Linked DNA regions of Callithrix jacchus. The protein of the gene in region 1 interacts with the protein of each later gene in a pairwise test. Links are inferred from orthologs where the notes say so. Each region holds a gene or a part of one and is shown in the gene's direction. Other genes may lie near its edges.

Region 1 (3,500 bases):
ACTCTTTAATAAAAGTATCCTTTTATGTTGGCCTAACTGAATATGTAGTGTAGTATAATTTCGTTTGGATTATATTGTTAGGTGATGGAACTAGAATGGCTGATTCAACAACAATGCTATCAATAAGTGATCCAATTCATATGGTGCTGATCAAAACAGACATATTTGGTGAGACAACTTTAGTAGCATCCTATTTTCTGGAATGGCGATCAGTTTTGGGCTCAGAAAATGGAGTGACCAGTCTGACTGTGGAACTTATGGGTGTAGGTATGATGATTACTATATCATTGTTAACCTTTTTATAGCCACAGTTTGTTTGGCAATATATTTTCTGTCCTTAAAATGCTTTAATAATCCAAGAGGGAGACTTGTAAAATAGAATTTCATTAGAGTTACAATTGGACTCCAGCAGCCTAGTCTTGAGAAATGTCTTAAAGAATAGTATCAGTATAGCACTTCACAATCTAACCTTGCCTTAGGAGAACTGTTTTTTCTGGAAAATGAATATAGGAATTTTGAGGGTTTTAATTTTTTTCAAGTTCATTTGATTAAATATAGTCTATAAAGAAAATATTCTTGACACACATACAAACTTAGGTGTGTCCAGCCAGCACACTCTGGAATACATCCGCTTTAGTACCAGTGATTCTTGCAAAATATGGAGTAGGTGTTCTCCCAACCTTTTACAGTGGGTGAGTGAGACCTAGAAGTAATAATTTGCTCAGTGTCAGTATCAAGTACTTCTTGAGGGCAGAGATGGTGCCTATCTTAATTGCCATAGTCTTCTTGGAATCTTGCACACTGCCTGCTATATAACACATTTGCTAATAAAATGAAAAAAACAAAACCTACCAATGTTTTATCTATAACATATAATGGAATTGCTTTGGTTTTGAAACTTAGTCACAGAGTTAAACCTTGTCAGTGGACAGCATAGCCTTATTAATTTAGATTTTAATAAGTCATACAAAGAATGTATTGTTCTTTAAATAAAAATTATAGAAAAACTGTTCTTTATGTAGGAAATTTATTTTCAAAAACAATACCCAATTACTTGTCTTCAAAAATAGCCTAACATGATAGTATAGCAGTGACCTGGAAACAAGCATATTCTAAGGAAACATTAAATAGTTCTGATGTGATGCATATTTGTTTTCTAATTTAAATCCAGGCATGTTTTGAAAATTTCTACTCAGCCTGTGAATTGAAAATGGGGAGTGATAAATGGGAGTTATTATAAGTGACAATATAAATGTTTTCTAATTTTTTGTGTGTGTGGAGACAGAATGAGGTGTTAACAGTTGCTTTGACTTTAAATTTAATGTAAGTCTGGTTGACATTTTACATTTAATGAAGATAGGAATCTGAAATCCTTTAGGTCAGAAAAGTTTCTTAAAACATGTTAGAAAGGCCGGGCGTAGTGGCTCATTCCTGTAATCCCAGCAAGCACTTCGGAAAGCTGAGGTAGGAATATTACTTGAGTCCAAGAGTTCAAGACCAGCTTGAGGAATGTAGGGAGACTCCATCTCTACTTAAAGAAGAAAAAATGTATTAGAAAGCTAAGAAAATAGTTAATCTCCTTATAATTAAACATCTTTGTTTAAAAAAATTTTTGATTTGGTTCATTTTTAATACGAATATTAAAGGTAATGTCGAATGTTATCTTTATTTCATGTAAGTGATAAAACACCAAGTGCCTAAATTATTTTGTTTAGACTTTGGTTGGCTAAATATATATAGTATTGAAATCTCTGAAGTTCTAAATATTTATGTTTATAGGCACAGAATCAAAAGTTTCTGTGGGAATTTTAAATATAAAACTTGAAATGTATCCACCACTCAATCAAACTTTATCTCAAGAAGTAGTGAACACACAGGTAAATAATAATGAGTTTCTCTTTTTGTGTGTGTCTGTTTTCATAGAAGTGTATTTACCTGTTGATCCTAGAAAGCACTCTTTTCTTTAGAAAATTATTTATTACTTTCTTGATTAGCACTCAAAGGTTTACAGAAAATGTGAGAAAGAAAATAAAGACAAGTTTGTTTTCCTGGGAGAATCTGTAGTCTAGTTTCGGAAAGACGATGAAAATTTATTGAGACAACATGAGAATTACAGGATAAAGCTGAAGAGGACAAAGGAGTAAAGTGCAACCTCAGTGGGGTGGGATTTTAACATTTTTTTCATAGATATTTATTGTTGAAAGCTTGCTGCTTATGTCTTTTCTGCTCTGTCCTCTCAGGGTAGAAGTGCTTGCCACTTTTTTTTTCTTTTGAGATGGAGTTTTGCTTTTGTGGCCCAGGCTGGAGTGCAATGGTGTGATCTTGGCTCACCGCAATCACCGCCTACTGGGTTCAAGCTATTCTCCTGCCTCAGCCTCCCAAGTAGCTGGGATTAAAGGCGTGCACCATCATGCCTGGCTAATTTTGTATTTTTAGTAGAGATGAGATTTCTCCACATTGGTCAGGCTGGTCTCGAACTCCCGACCTCAGGAGATCCACCTGCCTCAGCCTCCCAAAGTGCCGAGATTACAGGTGTGAGCCACCTCGCCTGGCCCAACTTGCCACTTCTAGATTGTGTTTGGAGAAGCTTTTTTTTCCCCCCTAATTCCACTGTCAGGTCTCTGATGAAATTACTTTCTTCTTGGGTCTTTTAAGATTGGCAGGTTTTTTCATTCCTTCACATTGGACTTGTCATCTCTGTTTAGTTCTTGCCAGTCTTTAGTTTGCAGGTTCTGATTATCTGCTGACTTGCTGGGATGGCACCTGTGGAATGGTTCTTCTTGATTACATATATCACCCTTTACTCTACCCTGCCTGTCATATTGTTCCTTTTACAGACCTGTGGTTAGAAGCTAGTGCTTCTCCCTCAGGCAGTGTCCTGCCCTATTTTCTTTAAACTTCTTTTTCCTTCCTTTTGTAAACTCTGATCTCCCTCTAATCTCTAGCATCTGAGATGTGTCATGGTTAATATATATATATATATATATATATATATATATATATTTATATTTATATTTATATTAATGTGGTTAATAATATATATATATTTATATTTATATTTATATTAATGTGGTTAATAATATATATATATATATATACCTGAAAACACATAGTGGGAACCAACCTTGATGTTACTCAGATAAATACTCAGCCCTATAGGAGGCCAAGGTGGAAGGATCACTTTTGAGACCAAGCAGTTCAGCATCAGCCTGGGCAACATAATGAGACCCTGTCTCTACAAAAATTTTTAAAAATCAGTCAAGCATTGGTGGTACATGCCTGTAGTCCCAGCTACTTGGGAAGCTGAAATGGGAGGATTGCTTGACCCAGGAATTCGAGGTTACAGTGAGCTGTGATTGTACCACTGCACTCCAACCTGTCTCTTAAATAAAAGGTGTAAATACACCTTTACATATGTGTATACATGAGTTTTAATCATGTTATATTTATGTGGCTTATAAAGTAAATGTTTGGGCTCTATTTTTGGGGTAGTAAGTTGG
Region 2 (3,130 bases), on another chromosome or scaffold:
CATCATAATCATAATTTTTCTTTGAAGAATTTCCTATTTCTTCAATAGCAGTGATAGCACTGACATCAAAAAAATACTAGCCTTATAAGCTTATTTTAAACCAGTTCCTAATGGTAGTAACTGCCTTTCTCTTCATGGCATTGCTGAGCATTGATTAACAACCAAGCTATAGGCCACGCATTTTTAAATTAGTGATCTTAAGTAATGAGATCGTAGGGAAATCTCGATCTGATATTTGATATTGGAGAATCAGAAGAGGTCATAGATATACTTAGTGAATTCACATGTCTGAGGCTCCACGTGGTGGGGACGTGGACATTAGTAGTAGTAATTAGCCTTGGATGAGACAAGAACCGAAATTCACATATAAATGGGAAACAGCCAGCGCTGCTAGGTAGAGCTTGTCTAGATTGGGACTAATGAACTACTTTTCAATCTGAAGGCGTCAGGAATAGACAGGCTCCTACTTCCGCAAATACCAAATGAAAAGCCAACCCACTGTTCTTGAATTTATAGATCCAATTTACACTTGCTCTTTTTAACTAATGGAACTAGCCGGCCCCTGCATGCCAAGTTTCTATGGCAATGTGATCTCAGTGACCTCTCTTCTCTATTGTGGAATGTAGGTGAAAAGAACGGAGGGGAGCCTGATGATGCTGAACTGGTAAGGCTCAGTAAGAGGCTGGTGGAGAACGCGGTGCTCAAGGCTGTCCAGCAGTATCTGGAGGAGACACAGAATAAAAACAAGCCGGGGGAGGGGAGCTCTGTGAAAACTGAAGCAGCTGATCGGAATGGCAATGACAATGAGAACAACAGGAAATGAGGCCTGAACACAGGTCCTCAAGTCTGTGTAAAGCATCCCTGCTCCCCTCTGCTGAGTCTAGGGACTGACTTGCAGCGTGCTGTTTAAGTTTCTCTGGTTCAGTCTGTGGAGATTGCCTAATACTTTCATGATCGATGTGATGGCGTTTCTGAAACACAACAAGAAAAATGGAGTGCTGGGACTGGCAAAGGAAATTAATTTATGAAAGAAGAATGGCCCAAGTTTCACTCGCCCTCAGCCATGCACAAGGGAGAGAGAACTTTGGGTTATGCCTCCTGGACACAAATTACAGGCCGCGAAAGAGGCCTTGCCATCAATGGAATACTGCCATTTATATTGCTTAGCAGGGCATTTGACTACTTTATCTGAGGCCAGAACTCTCACACACAGCTATCAAGTGCTAAGTTTAAAATAATCACTGTTGAAATTGTCATCTGTACAATTAGTCCATAATGTTTCATGTCTGTCCTAAGTGTGCTGTTGCTATGCAGTGATCTTTATTTATAGTAAATTATGTTTCATGTAAATGATATATTTTGGTGAAATGCAACCTTTTCTATAAAATGTGGGCAACATTTTAAAGTTTTTTTAAAATCCTATTTTGATAAGTCAGTATGCCATATTTAATGAAATGTATTATATAATTTTTTTTCTTAGGCAAGAAACCTATTGGAATTCAAGAATTAATTAATGAAGCTTTGCATCGAGAAATGATGGGTCTGAAGTCCAAAGTGAAACAGATAAAGGAACTTTTATTAAAGCCTGAGATTCAGGCCAAAATTAGGAGGGAGCTTTTTGAAGGAAGACTTATTAATAACAGTAATCCAGCAAATGATGTTATTTTTGGCACAACTTTGACATAAGCTCTACATTGCAATTGTGGCAACATAGCCCCTGAAATCTTTCCAGCTTACCAAGTAGCTCTTTGGTATACACCAAAGAAGTTTCTGATAGTGTCTGCACAACAGCAAACCAACATTTGGTAAGGAATTAGCAATTTCTTGCCAAAGAAAACTCATTCTGCCCTGTTATTTTTTGAGCTAAACTTGTGTTTTAGAATGTCTGTTTCTGTGATATTGAGAGTTATTTTATAAAAATGATTTCTTAATTAGCCGTTGTGAGATATTTCTTGGGTCCTTGCAGAAGAAAATACAGACTGTGAAGAAACCATTCACAGACAAATAGAACAAAACAGAGCCAACAACAGTATTTGAAGGGTCACTTGCCTCCTGTTGACATGATTGTTGCTAAATCAAAAGAAGCATTGTCCAGGTGTGTCTATATCTAGTGTTACTTTTAATGAGAATTTGAATGTTTATTGAACAATAGTACTTGAACGAACATTTATAAATGTAATTATTGCGATCACTGGTTAAGAATGTTTTATATATCCTTATAATATTTTTCACTGATCAAAATGTAGTTTGCTTTTTCATTTCTTAAGGAATTCATGTTTGGGATTTTTATTTTTTACATTTTCGAAGATAAGCTCCAGGACTTATCAGATCCCTTGTAATCTGAATGTGTTTGCACTGGTTCGGTTTTAAAGAGCATTCTGGAAAACCTTTCCCTGCTATGGTGATTGTTGGTAACAGCTTTTTCTATAGTCATTGTAAAATGGCTGCTACCAATAGATCATGATAGAGGGAAATCACTGGAGATCAAATGTGTAAAATCATTTCAAATATAAAATCCAATTTACTCATGGATTTTAGCTATTTTTTCACTGAGTAAATTATACTACATTTATTTACAAATGAGTTTATGCATTTTCCTGGCTCTTAATAAACATACTGTTTTCCCTTGCCTTTTCTCATCTCTTCACTGTTGGGAGTAGCTGGATCTATGTTGGCATAAGGAAGTTATCAACAGGAGCTCTGACAGCTTCGGTGTTGCTTCACCTTTCTGTTCCTGTCCTTCATGCTGAGGTCGCACAGTGGTCAAAGCACCATCAACTTCATGCTTTAAAATCGTATCAAATCAGTCAGCTTCACCGAGAATTAACAGCAGAACCTTAAATTCAAAGAAAATCTAAATTCTCAGCTTCACCGAGAATTAAACAGCTAAGAATGTGCCAGTGATGTGACATCCTAGCAAAGATGAAAAGTGGAGATCCATCCAGGTGCAGAATCCTGCAGCTGTTTGCTGTGAAACCCCTTTCAGTGGTAGAGGGCTTGACTGTTTGTAGATGGGTTCTTTAAGTAAATCCTTAAGGTGGAAAGCAAAGATAGTTTTGGCCTTGCCTTGTGTTTCAAAGAAGGGAACAGACTCCAAGAGGTGGCACACCTTATCCAAGGCCTCACTGCT
Region 3 (3,979 bases), on another chromosome or scaffold:
GGGCTAATTTTTGTATTTTTTTAGTAGAGACGGTGTTTCACCATGTTGGCCAGCCTGGTCTTGAACTTCTGACCTCAGATGATCCACCTGCCTTGGCCTCCTAAAGTGCTGGGATTTCAGGCATGAGCCACTGCAACCGGCCTAAAGTCATGCATTTGATAGAGCTGCGTTTCACAGCCCTGAAAGGAAACAGGTGTGGCCACTTTACAGGTCTCAGGACTCAGAGATCCTCCAGGTCGCCCAGGTGTTAAGAAGCAGGGCTGGATTTCATCTCGGATGATTGGGTTTCCAGTCATGCTCTTTTCCTCTGCTGTAAGAGGCTCCTCTTAGGCCAATTCAGAGGGCAGGGTTTAGGGACAAGAGGCACACCGCAAATTGTACAAGTCCTGGATATTTGGCAAATGTGCTACAGTTTGCAAAGCATGTTTGCAAACAACAGTTCCTTTATGCTGCCCCCAGAACCATCTGGACTCATCTGCGGACCCAGCAGGCCCTGGGCTCGCCCTCTTCTCCTGCCTCACTTCCCTCCAGGTCTTCTGGGCTCCAGGCCAATTGGGCTACCAGCTCTTTCTTGTACATGTGCCCCAAGTTCCCACCTCTGAAATTCTTCTTCGAATGCCTCTCCTTCCATTCTGACTCTGTACAAATCTTCCCCATCCTTCAGAGTCTCGTTCCAATGCCTCCTCCAACAGGCAGCCTATCCTGATTGCTTCAACTGGAAGAGAAAGAGGAACGAGAGGAGGAATGGAAGAGGCATTTTCTCAATGTTTATTCAGTACCAGGCATGTTATATAACCTCGCAACGACTCTGTGATATAGTCTGTTTCTGCCCCATTTTATAGGCAGAAATTGAGGGGAAATGACTCGCCCAAGCTCACACAGCTAGGAAGGAAGCTTCTGGACTCCTCATCTAGTGCTCATTCTCCTGCTCTAGTCAGGAGCCCTGTGGGGCCGATGAAGGCAAATCTTCCACCTCTCTCCTTCGTGGTGGTTGATCCCTGGGGGTGGTGATCTGATCTATTCGCTCCCTGCTAAAGCCAGAGCTGCTGACAGCTTGCCATTGGCTCTTCAGCCAGGGCTGGCTTTTGTTTCTGCCGTCCAGTTGCTGAGTCGGGGATTTGTCTCCCAGGGGCCCCTCTTCCCTCCCTGCCTATAAGAGCCTGTCCTCGGCTGGTCTCAGATCTGACATGTTCCCTGGGCCTATCTCGGTAAGTCCCAGGTTTGGAGAAAGGGGTGGGATCAGAGTTCTGAGTGAGCATCCCGGGAGGCGAGGAGCCCAGGTCCCTAGTCCTAGGGATGTCACTGTGTCATCCTGAATGCCATCCTCATCCTAAGCAAGGATTAGCCCCAACCGTCAAGACCAGCGCCCGCTCCCTTCATTTAAAAACAGAATTATTCCTGTAGCCCTGTTGCCTACATTTCCACCATCAGAGCTACCTCTGGGAGCTAGGTGCTGTCTTTGGAAGGGTTCTTTCACACTGAGCATTTTAGCACTCACTGGGGCGATGCATCCACCCACCAGCAGCCAGAGAAAATTTCCCGAAACAAGCAGATAAAAGAATATTAAGTTGGGATCAGAGGCAAAGAGACCCAGCATGGGTGAGTTTTGAGATGGGGACAGGATGGAAGATGGCATTAGTGACAGATGGAAAGGACAGGAGAGAGACAGGCCAAAGCCACATATTGCCCCTAGCCCAGTCACTCCTGGACTTCTCATCTGGATCCTGACCAGGTCCTAACTACTCCTCTGCATAAGGAGGAGAGCAGAGGGTCAGGGTGGGAGATGATGACTTTCTTGTTTTCTGTAGGAAGGGGCCACGATGACCCTGCAATGCACCAAGTCAGCAGGACACTGGAAGGTAGGAAGGGGCATGGGGAGGGGGTGTCCAGGGCATGTGGGAGGGTTCCGGTCCCCAGGAATCCCAGGAGAAGGGCATTATGAATGCCTGTTTCGCAGAGGCACAATCAAGGCTCAGAATCAAGAAGGGACTTGTATGTCACATACAGGGAGATCAAATGTGCACTTGGGTCTGCTGGTTCCCAAAGTTGACTTGTTCCACTCTTGGCAGAGATTGCACAGTCTTTGGGTATGACTTCATTGACCATCTCTGTGTGTATTTGTTTGTTTTTGTAAAGCTTTTGAATTTATCACCAGCCTTTAAAAGCTTGGAAGAACCACGTAAAAGTCCAGAACTAGTGACTGTCTTGAGAAATTGGAAGGTCTGACCCATATTCCCAATTCCCACCTGGCAACCATTGGTGGCCACCCATTTACCTGGCGCCTGCGCTCTGTGGTTCTTCACAGTCCTCACCACCCCTGCCTGCCTGGCTCCTGGAGGCATCTGAGTTTGCAGTCCCCGCTTTACCTGCCAGATCCTGGAGTCAGCCCCAACCCCTCACCCTCCAGGGGACTCTGATGCGGATCTCCACCTTTTTTTCTGGCGCAGATGGTGGTGTGGGACCAGGACGGCTTCCAGGGCCGGCGACATGAGTTCACAGCCGAGTGCCCCAGCGTGCTGGACCTTGGCTTCGAGACTGTGCGATCTTTGAAAGTGCTGAGTGGAGCGTGAGTCTAGGGGGATACTGAGTTGGGGTAGAGGGTGGACAGGAAGGGACCGAGAGAGGGGTGTTAGGACTTTTAGATATTCTAGGTCCTCTCTTCCTAGGCTCTTATTGGTGTGCCCTCTTGAAGTGCTGAGGAGTGTGCAGGACTGCCATGTAAGGTTATGCAGGTTGCACACTGCCCAACAGTAGGAGGCTGTTGTTTGCACAGACCCTGACCACTGGATGAGGCAGCCCTGCAGGAGAAGCTCCTTAGAATCCAGTGTTGAGTGTAAAAATGTCCCTCCTAGCCATACATTGAAAGCCAACATCACTCACCATAAGTGGAAAGTAACTGTAAAAATACATGTAGTGTTTTAAATGCTATTAATTTTTAGCTAAATAGTCTTGTTGCTAAGCATGTGGCCCGATCATTTTTTGCAAAAATAAAATAAAATAAAAGAGAGTGTGAGAGAGAGAGAGAGATTAAGGAGATGTAGAGAGGTGTTAAGGACACGCTAATAACACACCAAGACTTTCTAGACCACTGCCCTTCAGTGGACCTCTCTGCAATGATGGAGATTTCTACACCTGCTGTGTCCATTTCAGAGCCACTGGCCAGAAGTGACCACTGAGGATTTGAAAGGTAGCCAACATGACTAGAGAACTGAATTTTTTATTTAATCTTAATTTATTTAAGTTTAAATTTAACATGTGGCCAGTGGCTACCATATTGGATGGAAGGTTCTAGAAGGTTGGAAAGTGGATAGAAAAGAGATGTGGCCAGTAGCTATGGATAGAAGGTTCTAGAAGGTTGGAAAGTAGGTAGAAAGGAGATGTGGCCAGTAGCTACCATATTGGATAGAAGGTTCTAGAAAGTTGGAAAGTAGAAAAGAGATGTAGCCAGTGGCTACCATATTAAATAAAAGGTTTTGGAAGGTTGGAAAGTAGATAGAAAGGAGATTTGGAGTCACTTAATGCTATGCCTGTGAGTGCCACCTGAGGTCATCTTGGGTGATTTTTACTCTTTTAGCTTCTGGTTTGTGCAGGTGGGAAAAGGGGATCAGATGAGAACAGAGGCTTTCTAGGGAGGGGTATGTCCAGCAGGCTTACAGACTCAGCCAGTAAGCAGACAATGAGCTCGGATAGATTCAGTTTATTACTTACACAGACAGCAAAAGCAAGGTGCACACGGTGTCAGCCTCCTGTGTCCCTTGTCCTATGGGGTGACACCAAAACAAAGGGGGCCGGATGACAGGCAGCCGAAATGGTGGGATCCCCGTGGCCGAAGATCCACTTTTATGCTTCAGCGATAGCCTGCTGCAGCCACCTGTGGGGCAGTGAGGTGGAACGCCCCACATCTCAGAGTGGCCAGAGAGGCAGATGAGGAGCTGCCACGTAGCCGTCTCCTGCAAGAGAGGGAGGAAAATGACAGACT
Region 4 (4,195 bases), on another chromosome or scaffold:
TGGGAAACCGGTACAAGTGTTAGGAGGCATCCGAGGTGGGCAGGGAGGTAAGGGGAGGAAGGCACTCAAACCACTCTTCTTGCCAGATCTAAAGCTGGACCCTCCTCCTCCACCTCCACTCCCCCACCCCCTTTCTGGTTTGCAGGTTTCAACAGCTCTTGGATTCCCAGAACCCACAGGGAGCCCTTGGGACTTGGGAATCTCCTCCAGCCCAAATCTTCAGTCTTCTCCTCTCCTCCCCATGGCCAACAGGGTCTGTGTGAAGAGAGGCCGGGCTCAGGGACTGGGACATTCAGAGAGGAGAATTCAGAGTTTTGTTGCTCTGGGACACAGCTTGGTCACTCCGGGAAACGAACACAACCCATTGGCTGTCATTACTAGAAACAGCGAATGGCTAAGGAATGGCGGGAGGAGGGAAGAGGACTTCAGAGGTTTAAAGAAAAAAAAAAAAAAAAAAAGCACTGGAAGACCGGACTAGAAATCCTCTGGGAGGCTGGGCCCGCAAGGAGCCTTCCCGCGCCTCAAGCCCACTTTCCTTCCCTCTCGACCTGACGAACTTAGGGCGTGCAGAGTCTCTTCGGACAAAGTCAAGCCAAGAGAGCCCTAAGCTTCTCCTCCAGCAACTGCTACAGAAGCTAGAAAACTTAAATTTTGCAAACAAGACTTGCAGCGGGACACCTAAGCGACGCTAAAGGGCGGTGGAGGGGATGCCGCTTCCCAAAGTGGAAGCGGGGAGGGGGACCGGCGGACACCAAACAGCCCCGTGGAGCCTCGGCCACCGGCAGCGCTAGGCGCCCCATCCCCAGAGCCAAGCGTGTGACTCGCGCGCCGGACAACGAGGCGCGCGCTTGCGCGTGCGCAAAAGACCCACCCAGCCGAGCCCTTCTTCAGGTGCGCTCGCGCTTCCGGCCGACCGCCCCGCGTGCTTTCCTCGGGCGGAAACTCCAGAACCCGCGCATGCGCCCTCTGGCTCTCCGGCTTGATGAGGGGCGTAGGTCCACGGCTTCAGGTGATCCCGCCCCTCCCTCGAAGCGCAGGACCAATCGCGCAGCGAAAGGCGGGGTTTTTTGAGGAGGCGGCCCGCCCACGCATCGCGCGAGGCGTGTATCGATTGGTTGGCGCCGCGGGCGCAGGTGCGCGTTTCCTATTGGGTGTGGGCGGAGCGCGAGCGGTTGCAGCAGCTTCGGGGGCGGCAGGTGAGCACGCGCACGCGCCGCGGCTGTGGCCCGGCTCGGGTGCGCGCGCGCGGGCTCGCGGAGGAGGTGGCTGAGGGAGAGGTTGCGGCGCCTGTGGCCTCCGCTCCGCCCCCTCCTCCTCCTCCTCCTCCAGCGCTGTCGTCGCCGCCGCCGCCGGGGCCCGGAGGGAGGGAGCTGCGTCTCCGCCCGCCGCACAGCCAGTCCGACCCTCGGTCCCGCCGTGTGAGCAGCCGACCGAGTGCAGCTCGGCGCAGACGCCAGAGGTGCGGCCGCCTTCTTTGCAGGTGCCTGTGAGGAGGCTCCCGGGCCGCAGCCGCCTTCCGAGCCCGCCGGCCGCGCACTCGCTCCCTGCTCTCCAGAGGGGCCGCCCGGCCGGAGGAGGCCGCCGCTGGCCCGGCGTTCAGCATGAATCGCAGCCACCGGCACGCGGCGGGCAGCGGCTGCCTGGGCACCATGGAGGTGAAGAGCAAGGTGCGCGGGGCACGGGCTGGGCGGAGCGGCGGGCCTGGGGGGCCAGGGCCTGGGAGAGGCTGGGCAGGTCTCGGAGCGCCGGGGGAGGCGACGGTCCGAGCTGCCCCGGGGTCTGGACGTGCGGGCGGGGGATGGTGGGTAATAAACTTGCCGAGGAGGGTGCGGCGGGGGTCGGTGGGCGCTAGTGTCCGTCCGCCCATGGCCCCGGCAGGAAGAAGATCTAATCCAGCGTTTAATCTCGTCCCGTAAATCTCATTCCCGTGTTCACGGCTGGGAGTAGGGGCCAAGGTATGCCCGAGGATGGCACACATTTAGTGGAATGCGAGGCGGCTCAAAAGATGTAGGGGAATCCTGCCTGCTGGGCTGTGAATAAAGGGCCCTGGACCACCTCGTTCCCCCTTTCTGGGGTTCAGGGGCGCATCGAGTGGCGAAGGAGAGAGCCCAGTGAACTAAATAGCCCTTGAAAAGTTCCCTTTGCTTCCTGCTAGCGCTCTTTCTAGAACTAACTTTGGTATGCATTTAATCTGTAAAATTAGCGCTATCACCTTACGCTGGAGTAGCACTTTACAGTTTGAGTTTGGATGCTCTTTTCATTCCATCCTGCTACTTACTTACATCAAGTGTTTTTCCCCTTGACCAGCGGTATGCCAATCTGCTGATAATTATTTCGGTATTCACTGAATTCCTAAATCGCAAGGCTCGGTGAGCAGGGGAGTCTGTAGGGATTAGTTAGGGAATGCCTTCCAAAGGGGGTTTTGAGATGGAGTTTGAAGGTGATCGGCAGCTACGGGAACATTTTCGACGAAGTTTCTTGAGTTGAAGAGTTAAAAGGAGCTTAGATAGTCTAGTCCAATTCTCTGAGAAGACTGAGGTTCAGAAAGGTTATGACTTCCCAAGCTCTTTTTTTGCAATGCCTTCATGCCTTTTTAACAGTAACTTTTAGGCACTGCAGAATACAAAACAGGGCACTGGCTGGGCCCTCGGAACATTTAAAATAGAATTGAAAAGGCCAAAACACAGAAAACGAAAAAATTGAAAGCGTATCAATTTCAAAAAAAAAAAAAGAAGTAATGGAGCGTCATAGATTGTAAGCCTACTAAGGAGTATGCAGAATCAAGGAGTGAGTTGAGTGGAGTAAGGAAAGCTTTCTAGAGCCTCTGGGTAGAATGGTTTTATTGTCTACGGTTGATAAGCAAAGTTCTGTAAGTTTCTGTAACTGAGAATCACATCGAGAAAATCTACATTTGTTTGTAACATCATTTAAAAATGTGATTTGGCACTGAAATGAGGATTGGCACTAGTTTCAGAATCAGTAAGAAGTGTAGTTATAGCAATTTAAGGAATGTTCGTGTGTCTGTGTGCCATGTGCACGGCATAGCAAATTGAAGTGACTTGCTTGAGCTATATAGCGTGAAGATGACCCAAAATATGTAGCAGAGCTTTTCCTCTAGCGGTATAGTGGCAGTAGTGGTTCCGTGCCCAGTGGTTGAACCTTCTTACAGCATTTCTGTTATAAGTCTCGTTTGGATTTGTGGGCGTTGAGGTTATGGAAAGAAAAACACTTGTGATATTGCATAATCTTAAAAATAAGTTTATAGCCCTAATTTGGGTAGCAAATCTTTAATTTTTTTCTCATAAAAAATGAGTTGGAATTCTGTTTTATCAGTATTTATCAGCATGCTGATAAATACAATCAAATAGTAGTTTATCTCTAGTACTAAGAAACCTTGAGTGCTTTAAAACTGGAATTTCAGGCTTTTTGCCTTTCTCTTGTCAACTGATTTTTGAATCTTTCACATACTTCTGTCTAAACTACATGTTGTATATTTGAACTGCCATACTGCACTTTTAGTGAACCATGTCTCTTAAGTAGACTCATACACTGATTCTAGAAACATGCACTGAATGAATGCACTGAATGCACTATTCTAGCTGTTGACAAATAGGCAAGGTATAGGTAGGGGAGTATTCCTAATGTGTCTGTGACACCTTCTATCTTTCAAATATATATTTCTGATACATTTATTTTCAGCGGATTGAAATATTTGTCATCTAATCATTTAAAAAATATTTGGAGGGGTTTTTAAAACAGTATTTCCTTTGACATTGCTTTAGTGATAGCACAGCTTTTTTACAACACTAATCCCTAAGAGTTTGTAACGAAATAGGTAGTGTGCAGGTCCTTTTATTAATTCTTTTATTTTTCGTGTCAGGATCTTGCTCTGTCACTGGGGCTGGAGTACAATGGCACGATCATGGCTCACTGCAGCCTTAACCTCTCGGGCTCAAGTGATTCTCCCACTTCAGCCTCCTGAGTAGTGGGATTATACGCATGCGCCACTACACCCAGGTAATTTTTTTTTTTAATAGAGACGGGGGTCTTGCCAAGTTGCCCAGGCTGATCTTGAACTCCTGAGCTCAAGTGATGCCCCCATCTCTGCCTCCTGAAGTACTGGGACTACAGGCATGAGCCACTGCACCCTACCTGGTCTATTTTTCTTTTCTTTTATTTATTTTTATTTTTTAAA
Region 5 (4,138 bases), on another chromosome or scaffold:
AATTTAGTGACCTGATCTATAAGTGGGAAAAAAAACAGTATGATTGTTCAGAAAGCAGGATGAACATTTCTCTCTGATAAGATACTATTTTGTGAGTTCATTGTCCTTGAATACTGAAAATAATGAAGGAAAATAAATATTTTAGACGGAAAAAGATAGCATAAAGAGGTGTTCAGATAATGACGTGATCGACCTAAAAGGTTAATAAAACAACAAGCCCATCAAAAGCAATTACAATTGACAGAAAGCTGGAAACATTAACACTGTTGGAAAGCTCAAATGACAGAAGTTCACAAATTCTTAATCACCAAATCTAGGCCTCTCCTCATTACCATTCAGACCACTCACAAAGATCCCATTAAATCGGCTCATAATCAGCTTTAAAAAACAAGACTCCTTAAGAGACGTGGCAATGTAAGAGGTGGCGCACGTACACAGGAACAACAAATGACTAGTGAAAACTGAAGGGTTTATCGGAAGCGAAAATAACAGTGCTCTCCTCCGTGAAAAAGAGAAAGAAATCGGACGGGTCTCCTTTAAGTGAAAACAGACTGTGAGAATATAAAGACATTGCTTACATCTGTTTTAACATTCAATTTATCTAAGGAAAGAAGAGAAAGAAGTGTTTGGAACATAAATAAATCCTTCCTTACAGGAAGGTCAGAAATGTGGAAATACGCAGAAGCTGGTGGGAGCATAAGCCGATTGTGAGACAAGAACATCTGGAGAGGTAGCCCTGGTCGGGATGTGGGAAGAGGACTGCGAAAAAACAGCAGAACCAAGGGAAAGAAAAGGAAGAACCGCAGGTCCACTGCTCATCCCGAGTGCCTATAAATACGCCAGACTCTTAGCATGCGCAGAGGACACGGAAGAGGTGAGCTTTCCGGCCAGCCTATTGTCTTTGAGAGACAGAGAGGGATTCCCAAACTCACCCGCCGCTCCCGCCCCATGTCAGTCAGTTCCTGCAGCTCCTGCCCAGCAAAAACCTTGCGGGTGGTCACAGGCTGCTATCCTTTCACAGCTGTTTTGGGGGACAAAGATAGGGTAACGAAGCCGTGGCTCCACACTTACTTTTGCAGCCGGGCGCCATAGCGCCCTCACCCTTCGTTCCCGAGAACAATGTGGCTGATGCCCCCACCTCCCGACTGCGTCGCGCGACTGAATTCTGCCCGCTCAAGATGGCCGCGATTTTAAATTTGGCGCTTGGCTCAGACGTTGACGCCCGCGAGGAGGCCGCCATGTTGCCCGGCCTACGCATCGGGGGCGTGGCCCAGCTGACGTCACAGGTAAGTGCCCTCGCCTCTGTATCGTCGCCAATCTGTCGCGGAACTTGTGTTTACTCGGAGCTACCATGAGCAAGCGTAACCAGGTATCTTACGTGCGGCCAACCGAGCCAGCGTTCCTGGCTCGCTTCAAGGAACGCGTCGGCTACAGGGAGGGGCCCACTGTAGAGACCAAGGTGAGCTCTCGCCAGTCGTGATACTTTGGAAGCGCGGCCCGCCCGCCACTTCCAATTTCTGCCTTTACTTGGAGGCTGGGTGCTGTCGGGTCCTACTTTTCACCCGCGCTCGGCCCCGGTTCCGGTGGAATACGGCCCCAGGCTGGTTACTTTCAGGCGACTACAGCCCCCTACGCTCAGGAAGCTCAGTAGTTTTCAGAGCGCTACTGTGTTCCTGAAAATGACCTGACGTGTAAACCGCCTGGTCCTTGATAGATGATGGTAAAGCAAGATCACTTTCCTGTCTCTTCTTTCTCACTTGTTTACCTCAAAAGCTGAGTTCGCAGGGTGAGTTACAGTTACAGCGTAGTCCCGTATTCCAGATAAGGACACAGATGCATCAGAGGAATCACTATCCATGGCAGCTATAGCCTCACAAAATGGCTTTGATTTCTTTTTTTTTTTTTTGAAACGGGGTCTGGCTGTTACCCACGCTGGAAACAGCAGGGACTTACAGAAATATTTGCTACCTATGAGCTATGCACAGCATAAGAAAGAAGAGGAGGTAAATACTTCCAGAGGCTCTAAATCTGGAAGGCAGCTTGAGTATGAGTTGGCCAGGGGCAGTGGGGCTTAATAGGCAGTAGGAATTTGTTCAGAGACAGGAAAAGCAAAGGAGCTAATATGTTTATGAGTCTCCAAGTACTCAAACCTTGCTAGAGCCTAGATGCCATGAGAGTGGCACGGGATAAAGCTGTGGTTATGGGCTGAGGTGAATTCTTGGCAGGGCTTTGTTGCCTTGTTTAGGAGACAAGGAAGACTCTCTGTGAGGTAGAGTAAGGAGCGATTGTGTTTGAATACCATGTGAACACACATTTTGGTGTGCATACCTTTCAACCCAACAGTTTCACCTCTAGTAACTGTTAACATTAGAAGTTCTTGCATATACGTTCCCAGAAGTGAGCAAAAAAAGTGTATGAAGTTTTTTCATAGTAGAAAAAAATCTGGAAATAAGCAAAATTTGTATTTACAAAATACTGGTCAAATCATGAGATTACCATATATGTAATTAAATGCAAGGCATTGATTTTTTAAAAATCAAATAATTTTATGTGTGTCTTAAAGCACTGCGCAAAGATTTTTTTTTTAGTTAAGTTGAGGGAGTGGGGCTTTTATGGTGTGTGAGATTTCAAAAATCTGAATCAACTGGCAAAATATTACCATTTGTTACACAGACAGGGAGTGCATGGTTTCTGTTATGTTATTCTCTGTACCTCATATTTGAGAAATTTCATAAATAAGAAAAAAGCAAGTCACAGTAGCATGTACAGTGTTATTGGTATACAAAAAGTTTTATGTACCTACATAGTTTTATAGACTTGGAAAATAGCTAATAGGATATCTACCAAACTGAAGCTATTATTAGGAGGGCGAAAAGATGAGCAGAGGTGAGAGAAAGAGTACGTTTTACTTGCTGCTTTCTATACTTCGGTGGTGTTTATTTCTTGTCTAAGTCGGAGAAGAGACAGGTGAAGAGTGTTGATGAGGAGCAAATAACTGACATGGCACAGTGCTGGCCTGAGTAGGCTAGGAATGACAACAGTACCCAAAGCAGAGAGCCCCACACACTAGTAACTACAAGCTGGGTCCTGCTGAGATTGAAATGAATCACTGGACAGGCATTTCCGGGTGAGTGGCAGTGAAACCTGTTCCCTTTGGCAAGCTCAGTCTTTTTGGAGTTACTTTAAAATTAATTGCCAAATTCACTTACTCAATAAAGATACCCTTCTCACGAATAATTACAGTTTCTCTTAGAGGCAGTGCTTCTGTTTGTCTGAAGATCAGTGATCTACATGTTGTATTTGTGTTTTTCCCTAGAGAATCCAGCCTCAGCTCCCAGATGAAGGTGGGGATCACAGTGACAAAGAAGATGAACAGCCTCAAGTGGTGGTTTTGAAAAAGGGAGACCTATCACTTGAAGAAGTCATGAAAATTAAAGCAGAAATAAAGGCTGCCAGAGCAGGTAGGTCTGAAAGTAATCTGTTTTTTCTAACAATTTAAGGAGCCCAGGGTACGAAATTGTTTATTTTATTTAGTAGCATGGTATGTTTCAAGGAGACAGTTCCAGGTTCAAGCCTTAGCTTTGACACTTACCAGGTGTGTAACCTTGAGCAAGTTATTACACTGCTCAGCCTTAATTTCCTGATCAGTAAAATGGAAGTAATGGTACCCATTGGGTTGTTATAGGATTAAGTGTGAGTTTAAGTAAAGACATCCTATTTTTTTTTTTAAATAGATGGTTAGATTTATAAACCACTTGAAAAATGTCTGTTTCATTACTGTTCAGTATGCTATGTAGTATATTTTTCATTATTTCTGAACATTTACTACATTGCTTTAGGGGAAAATGCTGTAGTTCCAATCACTTTCAAAACACTTAAAAATACAACCTAATTGTAACTGGGACCTGACAATATTATAGAATACTTTAGCATGTGAGTTTTTATTCAGTAACTGCATGTCTTGAGGGCAATCTAGCTAGAAACAATGGAGAGGATCAGACTGAATCAGATTCAGGGACACCCTTAAATACAGTATGAGATTTTTCAAAGAAAAAATAATGAGGAGAGAAGAAAGTTCTTAAAAATCTGTTTTTGCTCAGATGAAGAACCAGCTTCTGCTGATGGAAGAATCCTATAT
Region 6 (4,241 bases), on another chromosome or scaffold:
TGGAGTGTTTGTAAGGTTCTTTTGCTGTGAGTAACCCAGCCGCCAGCCTCAGTGGAACCTCTGGGCCTCATTCTGGAGGAGACTTTGACTCGGTAAGGTTGCCCATGGTCGCACGGCCTGTGACTGCGCTCAGTCCTGGTTTTATCAAGGTAAAGCCTTTTCTTCTCCCAGTGAAAACAGCTCCCTTGCCCTGGGTTTGGGAGATCAAAGGCATTCTTGCTCATTGCAAATAATTCGGAAAACAGAGTCGAGTGTAAAGAAGAAATGAAAGGCAATGCAGTCCAGTTAAACAGAGGGAGATAACCAGGAATGACATTTCCAGGAATTGCCCTATACTTTGGGAATTTTTTCCTAGGATTACCACAAATGCACATTTGCACATTTATTCTACATAAAATATAACGTGTGCACATTCGATGCCATCCTTTTTTTTTTTTTTTTTTTTTTTTGAGACGGAGTCTCACTCTGTCGCCCAGGCTGGAGTACAACGGCAAGATTTCGGCTCACTGCAATCTTTGCCTCCTGGGCTCAAGTGATTCTCCTGCGTAAGTCTCCCAAGTAGCTGGAATTACAGGACTGCGCCACCACATCTAGGTAATTTTTGTAATTTTAGTAGAGACGGGTTTTCACCATGTTGGCGAGGCTGGTCTCGAACCGGTGACCTCCAGTGATCAGCCCGCCTTGGCCTCCCAAAGTGCTAGGATTACCGGCGTGACCACGGCGCCTGGCCGCCATCACTTAGGCATGTGTTTCATGTAGGAAATGTCTAAGACCATAATCACTACTGTGTGTGCTACCCCCCCGCGCGCGCGTGAACTCAGGCCCCTCTGGACGGACAATGGGGACCCCTGACCACTTACATCTTTGGAAACACGCCTCCCAGCGCTCCGGAACCTCAGGGCAGGACTCGTCGCAGCAGCAAGTAGGACCCGCTGGGGGCGCACAGCCCACCTGAATCATTGTAACTACAAGTCCCAGCAGCCCCTGGTGCGGGGACTGGACGCCGCGACCGGAGTCCGGAGAGACTACAAGTCCCGGCAGGCAGGGTCCAGACGAAGGCACTACGAGTCCCAGAATGCATCGCTCCTAGCTTGCGCAGGGAACCCTGGGAGATGTAGTCGTTGAGGAAGCTAATGCCTATTCATTCCATCTCAAAGAAGATGCAAATTCTTCAGACAGTCCACTGAGATGAGTTTTCTCAGGCAGGCCAGGCGCGTGGGCGAAAAACGGGGGGAAAAAAGCCCTGGGAAGCCGATACCGTCGCGGGAGAAGCCAGCCTGCGCATGCTCACCGGGAGGCCGAGCGGGAAAAGTGCGCGTAGTGGGCCTCGCCGCCCGCACGCCCCGCCCCGGCCCCGGCCCCACCCCCGGGCCTGCGCGCCCAGTGAGCCTGCGCGGAGGGCGGGGGCCGAGCGTCGCGGGGAGGGGCTCGCGGCGCCTGCGCAGAGCGGCGGCTTCTCTCGCGAGGACGGACGCCATTATCGCATCTCCCCGACAAACACCACGAGAATTCCGCAGCCCACACGGTAATTGCAGCTCCCGCAGCCGGTCGCGCCTCCGCCTCCCCCTTCCCGCGGGGCGAGAGCGAGAGCGAGATCTCCCTCCTCCCTCCTCCTCCTCCTCCTCCCCCTCCCGCCCGCCGGGCCGTCCGCGCCGCAGCCCCGCCGCCGCCAACTGTCTGGGCCGGGCGAGCGCCCCCAGCTCCTCGCTCCCCGTCCCTGGCCGCGCCCCGGAAGAGGGGCTCCCGCTTCCTCGCTTCCGCACCCCCTGCCCCGCCGCGCCCCGGCGTCCGTTGGGCCGCGGCTGCCGTAGCCCGGCCCGGGGGCCTCGAGCTCCCGATCTCTGCTCCGGGGCCGCGGCGGGGAGACTGGAAAGGCCTAGAACCGCGCCCGTGCTCCTCGGGGGACCGAGGTCTCCCTCGGGGGTGGCTCCTGCCAGCCAGCCGTGAGCGACGGGCACCGTTTCTGTGCCTCCTCCATGGCTGTGGACAGGAGCCCCAGTAGCCCAGGACTTGCACGCGGAAGCCTCCGGCGCGCAGCGAAACGGGCGATCTCAGGGCTGCCGCCGAGCTCGGCGAGGACCCCAGCCCGTTCCCGGGGGCCCCCTCCTCAGCGCCTGTGTGCGAGTTCTGTGGTGCAGCCCCTAAAAAGGGGGCCGTTTGTTTTTCCCTGGGGTGCAGAAAGTAGATGACGTTCCATCCCCACTGTGTGAGCGCACTGGAGACAGTGCCTTGCTGGAGGGGACTGTGGTTTTTCCCTGAGGACGTGGCAGGGCTTGTCTTGCTCTTGGGGAGATACATCAGCCCTGAAGAACTGTGAGCAGGTGCACGAGTGTGGGCTCTGAACGGTGGCGAGCTCGCACCCTCCCCGGGGAGGCCCGGGCCGCACAGTTGATGTGGAGCCGGTCATTCTCTGTTTGGAGTTGCCTGTCTGCCCGGGAATGTACTCCAGGGCCTGATGGCGTTGGCGGAACTTGCGCTGCAATAAATAACCGATAAGAGGAGGCAGTCTTAGGGTACACTTGTAGCTGGAAGTTCTTGGGGGACAGAAAAATAGCTCGGAGTAGTGAGTGGTTCTGAGGAAGATCAGAAAACATCAAATTAAAACTAGATCTGGTCATTTCGCCCGCAGCTCGCAAATACCCAGTGCTAGAAGAAAACACCGAAACGAGGTGAAACTGTATGTAGGTGCATTTCCCCTGCCTTGCAATTCAAATAAGAATATATTCATAAGCTGCAGCAAGTACCACTGGGCAGGGAGACCTCCACCCAGGCTGCGCTGGAGGCAGTGGGAAGACGCCCAGGTAGAAGAGCATCGAGGGTCTGGCGGGGCCCATAGCCTACGGAGCTGAGCCTCGGGGCTGACAGCATTCCAGGCTGAAGGCCCCCAGCAGGCTCCGATCCACATGTTAACAGGTGATTATTGTTAATAAACAGGTGTTCTGTATTTACTTACAACTCAAGAAATATTCCAGGTAGGCAGTTGTTACCCGCTTACCACTAACTGAAAGGTCCTCTCCACAAGGGAGCCACGGGGCCAGGGCAAACTTAATGTTTCTCAGCAATGTTGGATTCTGTGCTCACTGGTTTTAATGTTTTTATTTTCTGGAGGCAGGATTTTAACTGTCTGCCAGGCTGGAATGCAGTGTGGTGATCTTGGCTCACTGCAGCCTCAACCTCCCTGGCTCAAGTGATCCTCCCACCACAGCCTCCCAGGTAGCTGGGACCACAGGTGCCACCACACCTGGCTAATTTTTGTATAGTGGGGGGGGTTTCGCCTTGTTTCCCAGGCTGTGGCTTTAATCTTTAAAAAAAAAAGAGCTTCAGGCTGTGGGGGCAGCTCAACATCTTGCATCCTTCACCGTGACCCCCACTCCATAGATGAGGTGATGTGGCTGCAGATGCTGAGGGCATGTGTGCAGATGCACAGAGCCAGGGCTCCAGTTCAGTCTCTCTAAGCTGATGTTCTTAAAAAACACACCCCATCCATTCAGTGTTTTAATCAACATAGTGTATACAGCAGCCATGTCAGTGGAAGACTTACATGAAAAGCAGTGTCCCCTGCCCCACCTCCCAGCCCCATTCTTCAAAGCCTGGTTTCTTGAGGTCCTTCTCCATAGCTCTAAGTAAGCTGGTCTTTTCATTTGTTTTTGAGATAGGATCTCCCTGTGTTCCACAGACTCTACCCAGCCCTGGTGACCCTCAGCCTCCTTAGTAGTTGTTGCAGGCATGAGCTGCCACACCTGTTGCCCAGGGTGGGCTTTAACGTGCCCTTTAAGCTGATACTTTCTTTTTTTTTGAGATGGAGTTTCGCTCTTGTTACCCAGGCTGGAGCGCAATGGCGTGATCTCGGCTCACTGCAACCTCTGCCTCCTGGGTTCCGGCAATTCTGCCTCAGCCTCCTGAGTAGCTGGGATTACAGGCACGAGCCACCGTGCCCAGCTAAGTTTTTGTATTTTTAGAAGAGACGGGATTTCACCGTGTTGACCAGGATGGTCTCGATCTCTTGACCTCGTGATCCACCCATCTCGGCCTCCCAAAGTGCTGGGATTACAGGCTTGAGCCACCGCCCCTGGCCTAAGCTGATACTTTTTTTACTCAGCCTTGACTTTGTGTTATGATGGGTGACGGATCCCTTCTGTCACATGCCGCCTCCTCCATCTCATGTACCCTGTTTTCAGGGTAGGGTCAGGTCCCCTCCTTCTTCAGCCTCTCAGCTTTTTCTGTAACCTGCACACGAGCCA
Region 7 (3,500 bases), on another chromosome or scaffold:
ATTATCTCTTTTAATCTGCCTGACCTATGAGGCATTTACTGTTATTTTCCTCATTTCACAAATGAGAAAACAAATGAACAGGTTAAGTAACTTGCCCAACGTAACAGGTGTGTGGTTCTTCCCACTTCCCCTTTACCCACATTCCTCAGGCAACCATTCCTCACTGCATCTTTTCTCTCAGCTGCTTTCAAGGTGTGTGTGTGTGTGTGTGTGTGTGTGTGTGTGTGTGTGTGTCCTTCAGCAGTTTGTTTATGATATGTCTAGACATGATTTTAATTTATTCTATTTGGTGTGTGCTGAGGTTGAATTCTCTAAATTTATATTTTTAATCAAATTTTGAAAGTTAGGGCATTATTCATTTATTTTTTTTTCTGCCCCAATCTATTTATTCACTTTTTCTGGGGCTCCAGTTATACTTACTTAGATATTTTGAAACTGTTCCACAGGCCCCTGAGGTTCTGTTTATTTATTTATTTCAATCTTCTTTCTTTGTGTTCTTGAGATTGGATAATTTCTGTTGAGCTATCTTCAAGTTCATTAACCTTTTCTTTGTCATGTCCTTTTTGCCAATGAGATCATCTAGTGAACTTATGGTATTTTTCAGTTCTAAAATTTTTAGTTATTTTTTATAGTTTTTCATTTCTCTGTTTATGTTTCCTATCTTTTTACTTATTTCATTTGTGTTTTTCTTTACCTCATGGAGCATAGTTATCTATTTGCTTGAAAGTCTTTGTCTGGTAAATTGAACATCTGCTTTATTTTGGCATTGATACTGTTGATTGTTTTTTTTTCTGTCTCTCTCAATAATTGACCATATTCCCTTTTTCTTTTCTTTGACTGTCAGGTAACTTTGGATTGTATCCTGGACTTTGGAATGTGATATGGGTCCTGTTATAGTCCTCTGTGGAATATTGGTAGCTTTATTTTAGTAGGCATTCAACCCTCTTACTTCAGATTACAACTTCTGTCTCATCTCCGTCAGCTCTCTCTCCTATAAACCCGGTTATTCAGTTTTCAGCTCTCCAAGCACTTGCTATACTTTTTTGAATCTGTTCCATGCACTGTAGTTTAGAGGTTAAACTAAGACTTATAAGTGTTCATACTCAGAAATAAGGAGTTGCCTTCACCAGCTCTCTTTCCCTCAGGCTTCTCCCACACTGTCCAGGTTACGTGGTGGTTACGTGGTTTCTTGGGCCAGAATTGCAGTGGGGTTTCTATTGGAATTTTAGTGCTTAATACAGCTCTAAACCTGGGAACCACTCTCAGGGCAAAGCTAGGAAAAGGGTGGAAAAGGAAAATAAAAATTGGCAGCTCATTCTTCTGTCATTTACTTTTCTGAGTTTTGACCCTTCTGTACAATCTACCTGGTCACTTTTACTTTTCTCCGTCTTCAAGCATGTTTCAGAATTAATAGTTGCAATAGGGAAGTAGGAGTTGCCGGGAAATTATATCTCTGCTACCTTGGTAGTCAATATTGAATTTTTTTACTGAATCCAGCCTAACAGGTGGTTTTTGTTGTTTGTTTGTTTGTTTGTTTTTGGTATTAACTTCTTAAAATAATGTATTGATTAGATAAAAGAAGTATGTTGTTTTCAGCAGTTCTTTCTACAGAAAGGTTTGTTCTAAGAAGCATACAATAAGAATTTTAAATAAATCAAAAGCTTTATATTATGGAAACGTCTTGCTTATATTTATTTTGTTACTCTATAATGTAAGGTTAGATTAAAAAAAAATAAGAGAGTAATATAACAATAAATACCTCCCCAAAACAGCATCATCAACTCTGAGTTTCAAAGGGACTTTATTATAGGTGGAAAAAATTTCAGCATTTCATAGGAAAATAAAGACGATTTTTATAGCATTATCTAAATAAAAGAAAAAAAGAGTTTTAATCCTGCAATAGCCATATGAACTTAATCATATTTGTTTTTATGTAATCATCAAGATTGTCATGAGATTTAAATTTCTTAGTTTTTTATGTGTGTGTTAAAATGCAGTTGAAGATCCCAGTGTAGTTCTACTTTTTGTTTTTTGTTTTTTTTATCTAAGGACTTTTAATATTTGTTAGTGACCTAAAACCTAATGTGTGGATGATGATATTCAAACTTAAATATTTAATAATGTTTACATATAATTTTTTCCTTTCAGATGGTCTTCTCATTATTAGTGTTCACTCAGCTAAGTTTCCAAATGAAAAAGTCCTGGATAACATTAAGAGTGCCGTTCTTCGATACAACATCACCCACCCTGTGGTTAATGATGCAGATGCCAGCCTTTGGCAAGAACTAGAAATTTCCTGCTGGCCAACTCTAGTCATACTTGGACCTCGAGGAAACATGTTGTTTTCTTTGATTGGCGAGGGACACAAAGACAAATTATTTTTATATACTTCAATTGCTTTAAAGTATTACAAAGACAGGGGGCAGATCAGAGATGATAAAATTGGAATAAAACTCTATAAAGATTCTTTGCCACCTTCACCATTGCTATTTCCTGGCAAAGTAACAGTAGACCAAGTTACTAATAGATTGGTAATAGCAGACACTGGACATCATAGAATTTTGGTCGTTTGGAAGAATGGACAAATTCAGTATAGCATTGGAGGTAAAGTTTGCTTCTGATTATGATACATGTTTTCAGTAAAAAAATAGTTCAGGTAAATATAAAAGTTGAAATGTCTGAATGAAAACTAATTATAGAAAGGTGATATACCTGGACTTAACTTCCTAACACAAATTTTTTGTTAATTAATGTCTGATGTCTGAATTAACCTCTTCTTACTCCCTCATAAAACAAGCAAAACACCAAAAAAGCTTCAGGTCAAAAAGAGGAAATAGTTCAGCTTTTAGGTATATTTACATATTCAACCTTGTTTTGTTAAAAAACTGCCAGACTTACTGTGTCTTATGAAAACAGATGTTTTAGATTTCAGACATTTTTAAGTGGAATTATTATATTTCACTTTCCAAAAACGAATAGCCTTATCTTTTTAAAGATTATGTCAGTGCCCCATGAACCTGAGAAGTAGATTATAAAATAGATAAGCAGAATTTGTACATAATTTTCTCTCCTTTCTTCTATAAGAACTTGAACATGTTTCTGGATCTACTTCCAGAATAGAAATAGTTGTAGCAGCATGATACTTATAATGTGTAAGTATCATGGAAGCATAAATCATTTTGTCCTATATCTCCCTGGTCTTAGATCTGAAACTGCCTCTTGGTTACATCTACATAATTAATAAACTCTACTGAGTACATTCTTATTAATTCTGCTTATGTAAGCTCAACTGACATCTGACAAACATGTTAGTCAAAGACAAAAGTAATTCATATCTTTTTGCAATCAGTCCTGCTTTAGTAATATATGCAGCATTAGTATGTAAAGTAGGAATGTCTTAGTTCTTAATATAAAAAAGCTAGTTGTATTCCTGTGCCTTGATGTTATTCTTAATATGCCAAGATGCAGTATGCGTTGTGTTTCATGGTATTTGTTTTGTT

The links.
Region 2: the proteins of CEP76 (region 1) and AKAP7 interact in a two-hybrid assay, tested with the Homo sapiens proteins (3 studies listed by BioGRID). The two-hybrid records come from large-scale screens. The link is inferred for Callithrix jacchus from reciprocal best matches to the Homo sapiens genes CEP76 and AKAP7.
Region 3: the proteins of CEP76 (region 1) and CRYBA4 interact in binary tests that used the Homo sapiens proteins (3 or more experiments, as listed by UniProt). The two-hybrid records come from large-scale screens. The link is inferred for Callithrix jacchus from reciprocal best matches to the Homo sapiens genes CEP76 and CRYBA4.
Region 4: the proteins of CEP76 (region 1) and PARD6B interact in binary tests that used the Homo sapiens proteins (3 or more experiments, as listed by UniProt). The two-hybrid records come from large-scale screens. The link is inferred for Callithrix jacchus from reciprocal best matches to the Homo sapiens genes CEP76 and PARD6B.
Region 5: the proteins of CEP76 (region 1) and KIAA1143 interact in binary tests that used the Homo sapiens proteins (3 or more experiments, as listed by UniProt). The two-hybrid records come from large-scale screens. The link is inferred for Callithrix jacchus from reciprocal best matches to the Homo sapiens genes CEP76 and KIAA1143.
Region 6: the proteins of CEP76 (region 1) and BANP interact in binary tests that used the Homo sapiens proteins (3 or more experiments, as listed by UniProt). The two-hybrid records come from large-scale screens. The link is inferred for Callithrix jacchus from reciprocal best matches to the Homo sapiens genes CEP76 and BANP.
Region 7: the proteins of CEP76 (region 1) and NHLRC2 interact in binary tests that used the Homo sapiens proteins (3 or more experiments, as listed by UniProt). The two-hybrid records come from large-scale screens. The link is inferred for Callithrix jacchus from reciprocal best matches to the Homo sapiens genes CEP76 and NHLRC2.

The regions. Positions count from the first base shown.
Region 1 is NC_133514.1:49,805,184-49,808,683, forward strand, and holds part of CEP76 (centrosomal protein of 76 kDa), read left to right. Parts: intron 1-81; coding exon 82-267; intron 268-1,010; exon of another isoform or gene 1,011-1,528; intron 1,529-1,779; coding exon 1,780-1,877; intron 1,878-3,500. UniProt on the Homo sapiens protein: Centrosomal protein involved in regulation of centriole duplication. Required to limit centriole duplication to once per cell cycle by preventing centriole reduplication.
Region 2 is NC_133505.1:137,944,879-137,948,008, forward strand, and holds the end of AKAP7 (A-kinase anchoring protein 7), read left to right. Parts: intron 1-626; coding exon of another isoform or gene 627-823; exon of another isoform or gene 824-1,480; coding exon 1,481-1,686; 3' UTR 1,687-2,630; downstream 2,631-3,130. UniProt on the Homo sapiens protein: Probably targets cAMP-dependent protein kinase (PKA) to the cellular membrane or cytoskeletal structures.
Region 3 is NC_133502.1:197,352,606-197,356,584, forward strand, and holds the start of CRYBA4 (beta-crystallin A4), read left to right. Parts: upstream 1-1,179; 5' UTR 1,180-1,187; coding exon 1,188-1,208; intron 1,209-1,808; coding exon 1,809-1,859; intron 1,860-2,447; coding exon 2,448-2,566; intron 2,567-3,979. UniProt on the Homo sapiens protein: Crystallins are the dominant structural components of the vertebrate eye lens.
Region 4 is NC_133506.1:46,271,386-46,275,580, forward strand, and holds the start of PARD6B (partitioning defective 6 homolog beta), read left to right. Parts: upstream 1-1,395; 5' UTR 1,396-1,601; coding exon 1,602-1,667; intron 1,668-4,195. UniProt on the Homo sapiens protein: Adapter protein involved in asymmetrical cell division and cell polarization processes. Probably involved in formation of epithelial tight junctions.
Region 5 is NC_133516.1:27,524,864-27,529,001, reverse strand, and holds the start of KIAA1143 (uncharacterized protein KIAA1143 homolog), read left to right. Parts: upstream 1-1,338; 5' UTR 1,339-1,351; coding exon 1,352-1,459; intron 1,460-3,316; coding exon 3,317-3,461; intron 3,462-3,510; exon of another isoform or gene 3,511-4,100; coding exon 4,101-4,138. Other genes in the region: kinesin-like protein KIF15, read right to left, coding at 1,072-1,258.
Region 6 is NC_133521.1:45,581,195-45,585,435, forward strand, and holds the start of BANP (protein BANP), read left to right. Parts: upstream 1-1,441; 5' UTR 1,442-1,525; exon of another isoform or gene 1,526-2,913; intron 2,914-4,241. UniProt on the Homo sapiens protein: Controls V(D)J recombination during T-cell development by repressing T-cell receptor (TCR) beta enhancer function. Binds to scaffold/matrix attachment region beta (S/MARbeta), an ATC-rich DNA sequence located upstream of the TCR beta enhancer.
Region 7 is NC_133513.1:106,805,814-106,809,313, forward strand, and holds part of NHLRC2 (NHL repeat-containing protein 2), read left to right. Parts: intron 1-2,148; coding exon 2,149-2,604; intron 2,605-3,500. UniProt on the Homo sapiens protein: Required for normal embryonic development.